2 linked regions of the Daphnia pulex genome follow. The protein of the gene in region 2 purifies or fractionates together with the protein of the main gene of each other region. This does not show direct contact. Links are inferred from orthologs where the notes say so. Each region holds a gene or a part of one and is shown on either strand. Other genes may lie near its edges. The genes, in order: E3 ubiquitin-protein ligase TM129-like and derlin-1-like.

Region 1 (3,858 bases), on a different chromosome or scaffold from region 2:
TGCTCTGTCACATTATGTAGGACTTCGATTATCGAAGGTGGCTGCTGGTTGGCGCGCCTGCCAGGCAGACGAAGCCTTACGCATAGAGAATGTAACTTGAACAAACATTGAACACAAGTGAATAAAAGCGACAGGGAATTATTTCCGCTTAACCGTGACGAGGCAAAAATGATAATCAATGAAAGCAACGAACGCAACGCTTTTCTTCTTTTTTGTCTTTAAAATATACAAAAAGGGGTTCCTGACTAACTGACGTGTACAATTTTCGAATAGTGTTGGTCTGTTAATCAGTGGCTTACCGGTGAATTCAAGCGCCAGCTTTCGAATTAGTTTGCGTTTTTTCTTGGAAAAGGATAGGACGGTACCCAGAAAATCTGAATGGTGTACGTGATGTTTGCGCGGACAGGACTGTGTGGCGCACTCGCTGGGGGTGCCTGTCGGGAAATGACTGGGCCTTAAACCCATGTGTACCCACCTTGCCATATAGATCATATTCGACGGTACTGTAGCCCGTTGAAAGCAGTGTATCTAGCTAGTGGGGTCCGGGATTGTGCATATCAGCACTACTAGATACTCTCTCATATGCTAGTGCGCAAGTCGCCTAGATGAAATTTCGGGGAGGAGACAACACACACACATAAAACCACCCAACTTTTTTTTCCCGTTCTATAATAGTTCATCAGACCGTACCCTAATGCGAGCCATATTTTTCTTTTTTTCGTGAAAAAAGCTTACTGTCATATTCATTTACAGCCATTTTGTTCAGATAAGACTGTTGGCCACTGGCGAGAGTAATATTTTTATTTGTTTAACAAGTCGTCCGCAACTTGTAGCTCGCGTATCGATCTCCATTTCCAATTAATCCACCGCATTCTTTGAGATAAAAATATTGTAGTACGTTCGCTCCAACAACTCTTGACAGTGTTTTCTAGTTGATTTCTGCTTTTTTTGGTAAAAAGGAGGGCAACAAAAAATTCTCAATCTAGATGGAATTTGGAGTGGGATTGATAAGGCCATAGGAAAATAGGCCTACGTGACTGTCATTTGTTCTGCATGAACGCATAAATTATGTATATACAAGATAAGCTTAACGAATATTTTAGATCCATCGTCTAGCAACTGTTACGTAATTCACGAATTCAAATTCATTTCAAACCACGGGAAATGATTGAGCAATCTTACGGTTATCAAAAATGTACCGATGAAAAGAGAGAATTTAAGACGGACATTTTAAACAAAATTAATATTTTAATAATAATTAATAATGACCACTTACGAAAATGTTTTCGGCTGAATCTCAGTCGAGGAGACATAGAGATGAGGGGTAACTCGATCTTTTCTATGATCCGTGGTTGGAGTTCCGGTGGGATTCTTGTAGTCTTTAAACAATGTCCCAATTTGATGGATCGTCCTTTTTTCTTAATTTAATTATTTCCCGATGAACACATCAGAAGTCAGAACCGATCGGTATGAACCGACTGATCTGACTGATATTTCTTTTCAACCAAAGGTCGACTGCTAGCCCTACAGTTGCGCCACGTTTTTATTTACTTAATTTTTTGTTCTGATTATTATCACTAGTTTTTGAAAATTGCAATAAAAGCATTTGGGTGGTGGTCTCGTGTGTGTCCTATCGCCTACGTAAAAACTAAAAATCCAACCCACAACAAAATGTGAACCGAGTAGAGCCGTCTGCTAGTTGGTTTATTTACTCTTTGCTGGTGGCAAGTGATGACGTATTGAGAAATACTCGATCGTATCTCTTTAGTTGTTCATTCTGACTCTAGAATATAAATTATTGTTACTTTTATTTTATTTGAAATTGTCCAACCGGAAAGGGAAACCCTACAAATTTATCGGGAAGCTATGATTGAATTCACGGTTTTCTATTTAATTTTCGTGTTCTGCTTCATTTTCCCTCCAAGTGCGTTTGTTAGTGCCGGCATAACGGTTTCAAATTTATTTGATTCCTGGCTCGGAAGTGAAGACCTTCAGTTTGTGCAGTACCATTTAAGTCGAACATTGGTTACTGTAATCATCCACAGTCTCCTACCACTCGGATTCTTTGGTGGAGTCCTTCTTGTTGAAGGCTATGATCAGCTGTTGTTATTAGTACAAACTCCACTTGGACTAGGATTTCTCAGCTTATCTGTTCTCCTTCCAGCAGCTGCTGCATTCAAAGTATTTTTCTGGTGGACAAACAATTGGAGTTCTCACCCACTTGTAAATTCATTGACCTCTTATGCAAATAATGGGAGACAGTGGAATGATGTAGCATCTGAAATCAATGCTGAATTCAGAAGGTAAATAAATCGTTAGTTATATATCTGTAGTATAAATTAATGTATACATGTTGAAAAACGAGTAAACAGTTGAATTTTAATAGGATAGACAAGGTCACAGTCCGCACCAATCCAGTTTCTAAAACTGTTGTGACCAATTCCTGGATTATCAAAGTTGAACCTTATGTGGTGCAAGTAGCACATCAGAATCATGTAACCTTACAGCTGGAAAATGCTGAAGAACACACATACACTGCTGATAGTCAAACAGCTCAATACTTGTGGGTGAATGTAGAGCACATTCAAACCAAACAAAAATTGTTTACCATTCGTCTCAACGCCGTTGACTATGCAGACATGCAAGACAGACTGCAAACTCGTATCAGTAATGTTCGGGGATTATTAATTAATCAGGTATTCACATAATATTAGGTACGATGTTTCGAACACACATTTTTGATAAAGTTTTTTTTTCCTTTCAGGACGTTCATGCGCGTTTTTCTAAAGTTTTCATTGAAGAAGTTAGCTTGAACCCAGTTTTTCAAAGCCAAGAGGTATTTTTGGTAAAAATATTGATTCTGACATGTAATACAAATTTAAAAAGCAAATTTAGGAAATGGATCCGTGTTTAGGCTGTGCAGTCAACAGTGCAAATATCCGTCTAATACGAAGATGCTTGCCTACCGGAAATGCTGATGGTTGCACTCCGTGTTTTTGTAGACCCATGTGGTGCATACATTGCCTTAGTAAATGGTACGTAACTTCGAAATTTTTAAATCATGTGTCATGTTATTTCATGTGTGTCTTTGATAGGTTCTCCGCCAGACAAGATGCTGAACATCCTGAATCGTGGTTAATGTCTCGCTGCCCCTGCCCAACATGTCGCAGCCCATTTTGCGTTCTCGATGTTAGTTTAGTTGAAACCGTAGAAAATATTTAAGTTGTCTTTTTTTTCAAATCATGTTTCAATAACAATAAATATGTTTGCTTAACTTGGCTGATTATGAGGTACTGTACCGTTGGTTATGAAGGTCACATCCTGGATCACCAGCTTCTGCTCGTCATTATTTGTTTTAACAAACTGATAAACTGTAATCGAGATGTCGTAAGCAATAATCGTATGTTTTACTTTCTGTCCCCTAACTCTCCAACATATCACAGTATTCTATTGCAAACGCCTATCCAATAGATATCGTTATATCTATCCAAAATATCTATAAATCTGAGCCAAGAATTCATATGGATTATAGGAAAAGAAAAAAAAACATTTATTCAAAGAAAATATGTCAAGCAAGTTGAAATTATTTCTTCTTCGGTTTCTTCAGCTTTCGGACTTCTCCTTCCTGGTTAGACAGAGATCCTAGCAATTCCTTAACTTTGCGTTTGCGCTGATTGTCCCTGCAAAATTGAATGGCGAATTAATAACACGTTGCTATACAATAGAAAGTTAATTGCTCCATACTTTTCTATTTGCTCTTTGAGCTTCTCTCTAGCGATGAATGCATTGTCCTTGCGAATTTCTCGTATGGCTCCCTTCATCTCTCGCTTAATCTTGTGTTGCAATTTATCACGTTCC
Region 2 (3,521 bases):
ATCTCGACCACTTGAACTTGGACGTCCTATGGCCATGCAATACAACGTTGTGTATGACGCCACCGTCAAAGATGACGTAGTCCCTAAATTGGTAAGGCAAACTTTACTAGTTCTCTAATGACATTACAACCAATCTTTATTTAACATTTTGCTAAATTAGGAAGCTTGCCTTAAATTTTACCGTGATTCTCCTGACCGCACAAATTTTGACGAAAACTGGTCTGATGAACTCACGATTCTGGATAAGTTGAAAGCGACTTTGAAGTCCAGCTTACAAAGCGAAGATGATGTGATTATCGATTTGGTTGACACACTCAGCAACATGACCAAAGTGAAAACGAAAACAGATCTCACCGACGTAAAATCTCCTGCAGAACCTATAGACCCTGAACCCCAAAACAACCTAAAAGAAATCTCGTGTATGTGAGACAAGAAAATCGCGAAATCTATGAATCGAGGTTTTTCTTTGCAAAATTCCAGCCATCTGGGAATCATGCGTACAAATAATACATATGAATAAAAGAGTGAGACAAATTTAGTAAATTTAAATTTCTCTTAAGATTAAAGGGATACATTTTCCAGAAATTGATGGGAGGAGGGACGATAATCGTTTCTTTAACATAAACACATCAAAACATTAGAATCGGGGTTTAATTTTGGCCATTGTGAGGCTAGTTTTGGCCACCCAAAACATTTCCACGTCCCCAGTCATAGCGTCGAGGACCTGCATCCTGTGCAGCTGCTCTAAACTCAGCCCTAGGTTGAGGTGCCGCGCCGAATCCTTGTACTCCGCTTCGTTGATTCGGAAAATATTTGTATCTGAAAGACGAAGTATTTAACATATTTGCTAAAGTTAAATAAATAAAATGGCGTGTTACAGGAATTGCGGAGTAGTTAAGAGCAAAGGACCACCAAATTCTTGAGGATACTGCATCGTGAGGAAAAAGTATAAATGTCCCACGACAATTCCAACAAGTTCCATGACTCCACTATTGTAGTAAAAGAATTTAGTATATCACAAATTACATTATTTGCAGTTTCTTTACCCTCCAGCAATGATCAAGTTAAATCCAAGCAAGACCCAAGGAAGATACATTGCCTTGAACTGTGTTCCAAACCAGAAATTGACAATTGTGTCCTTATTTAGCTGACACCAAACATACAGTACACTCAGTACCATTGGATCCATCAAATACTAGAAAAAAATTATTGTTATTGTAGTTATTATGAGGTCTTTTAGGAAGCAACATGTAGTCGGAATCAGGAAACCAAATACTTACAGGAAAATCAGCTAGGAGTCCAATTATGACACAGCAAATCCAGTTGAATAGCAACATGAAAAAGTAGTCAGCTTGTCGCCCATTGAACAGTCCAGTTTCAAGTTGAAGAGAATAGTTATACAAGAAATACAAGTTGATGAGAAAGTGAAATCCTGTTTTTGGTGTTATTGGATAATAAAATAATGCTGTTGCTGGTCTCCATATCTATTGAACAATCAATTTAAGAATAAGAATGATGTTTTCTAAAATATTCAACTACAACATATTACATGGAATGATTCAAATATAGAATGGTAATCCAAGATAAGATATTTTGGACTCAAAATGGCAAATCTGCCAACTAGTGACAACGCAATAGTTAGTCCGAACCAATGCCTTGTGAAAATAGGCAAATTTTTGAACCAGCTGCTTAGCTCACTCATCTTTAAAAAGGTTTCAAGCCACTTTTCCAAATTATCTGAAAGGAAATGTATCAAAGAACAATGTGTATCTCAATCGAATTCAAGTCAAGATCAAATCGAAGCAGACGAACACTTACGTGTCATTAGAGGATAAATACAAAACAAGGCCAAAACCCAAAATCAAATCGCACAGTCATCCCCTCCAATGCCATCTATGAATCACCAATGGAAAAGAATAAAATAAAAATAAAAAAAAAAGGTTAGTATAATTAGAATGATGATAGGACTATTGATTTCTATTCAATAAAATTAATTCGCCAAGACCTTAGTGCTCGGCGCAGTTGAACCGAAACAGTTAATACACTACCAACGATAAAGAAAATCCTTAAAACGATTAGCGTTATGAGTATGACTGTTTTTCCTCATAATTTGTGTTTCTAAAGGCAGGAAAGCAAATGTGTGGTAGAAGACAGATTCCAGATTCGAAATGCATCCTGCAACGAGTCGAATAAAAACTAATCATATTAATTTTAAAGGGAAAAAAAGAAGAATAACTATTTTACCACGCAAAGGAATCGTATGATACCGGGTTGTCGACAAAAACTTTCCTTATTAAACTGTACAAATTCTCAACACATGCTTAATCTGATGGCAACACAGATAAGTTACCATGTGTATTAAACTGGGAAGGAAGGAACAAATCATTGGGGAGGGGGGGGGGGACCTCGTTACGAGATTCTACGACAAAAGAAAATTTCCAAATACCAGACAAAGCAAAATTGTTTGAAAAAAAAAGGCACCAAAGGTATTAGTTACAAATCACCCGATAGGACACTTTAGCAATAGAAATCAACAACAACAAAAATGATCAATGTCATAATTTTGAAGACAATAAGGCGTTTATTAGAATCAACTTGATTTACGGCCACCTCCACTGCTCGGTTGCCCTTGGCCGGGAACTATACGGTACTGAACGCGATGAGAATTAGATTGCAAATGACGAAGATGTCCAGCCTAAATTTAAAAAATTTATTCCATTTAGACAAGACCTAATACTAATTTAATCAACAATCAAGACATAGAACAAACGAAGTAAAATACCTGACAATTTGCCCATTCTGTGATATCATAAACGGCACCTTCCATGCAAGCGTAGTATTTAGAACGAAAGCCCATGTATCGTGATTCAGCCCATAGGTCCCCTTCGCGGGCGGAATGATGAATTTTGCAATCCTATTAAAAAACAAAATGAATGAAAAAAGGAAATTTTTTATTTTCGCACTTTACATGTACCTGACAATATCGAGCAGCATAGCAAGGCCGATTAGTTTTCACTCTTCTGTGACGCTTGGCACAATTGGTGCACCGAATCGTGTTTGCGGCCTCGTCCATTTTGGCATGCAACCGTGAGAGTAGCTCGTTGAGCTCGGCCCAAGCAGATTCCATCTCGTCTGCTTCTTGTACTAATTGGTCGTAGTGGCTGCGTCGCTCTGGCTGACCAACCAATTCAAAGGCATGCGCTAAGATTTTGAAGGCCTCTTCAGCTCCCCGTTGTCGATTTTTATCTGGGTGAACTAAAACAGCTTGTCGCTTGTAGTAACGTCGAATCTCTTCGTCGGAGCAATCTCGTCGAACACCTGAGAAATAAAATCTATAGCGAAAATGTCAATTAAATGTGAAGTCTACATCCAATTACCCAGGATGCTGTATGGATCTCTTCCTTTGCAAGCCAATAAACGATGCATAGCTTCTTCTCCGGTAGCAGGTAAAGGGATATTGGCATTTAAACCACCTAATGTGCTGCTTCCTTCGTCAGCTGATTTGCGTTGAAAAAATCGGA

What was found.
Region 1: the proteins of derlin-1-like (region 2) and E3 ubiquitin-protein ligase TM129-like purify together in Homo sapiens (affinity purification with western blotting; 3 studies listed by BioGRID). This does not show direct contact. The link is inferred for Daphnia pulex from reciprocal best matches to the Homo sapiens genes DERL1 and TMEM129.

What each region holds. Positions count from the first base shown.
Region 1 is NC_060024.1:10,069,896-10,073,753, forward strand, and holds E3 ubiquitin-protein ligase TM129-like, read left to right. Parts: upstream 1-1,678; 5' UTR 1,679-1,866; coding exon 1,867-2,303; intron 2,304-2,386; coding exon 2,387-2,696; intron 2,697-2,764; coding exon 2,765-2,836; intron 2,837-2,895; coding exon 2,896-3,035; intron 3,036-3,095; coding exon 3,096-3,222; 3' UTR 3,223-3,274; downstream 3,275-3,858. Other genes in the region: nucleolar protein 14-like, read right to left, coding at 3,584-3,680, 3,745-3,858.
Region 2 is NC_060018.1:4,694,305-4,697,825, forward strand, and holds derlin-1-like, read right to left. Parts: upstream 1,819-3,521; 5' UTR 1,703-1,818; coding exon 1,550-1,702; intron 1,485-1,549; coding exon 1,281-1,484; intron 1,196-1,280; coding exon 1,047-1,195; intron 990-1,046; coding exon 879-989; intron 820-878; coding exon 672-819; 3' UTR 531-671; downstream 1-530. Other genes in the region: MPN domain-containing protein-like, read left to right, coding at 1-91, 161-427; dnaJ homolog dnj-5-like, read right to left, coding at 2,591-2,695, 2,783-2,914, 2,975-3,318, 3,378-3,521. UniProt on the Homo sapiens protein: Functional component of endoplasmic reticulum-associated degradation (ERAD) for misfolded lumenal proteins. Forms homotetramers which encircle a large channel traversing the endoplasmic reticulum (ER) membrane.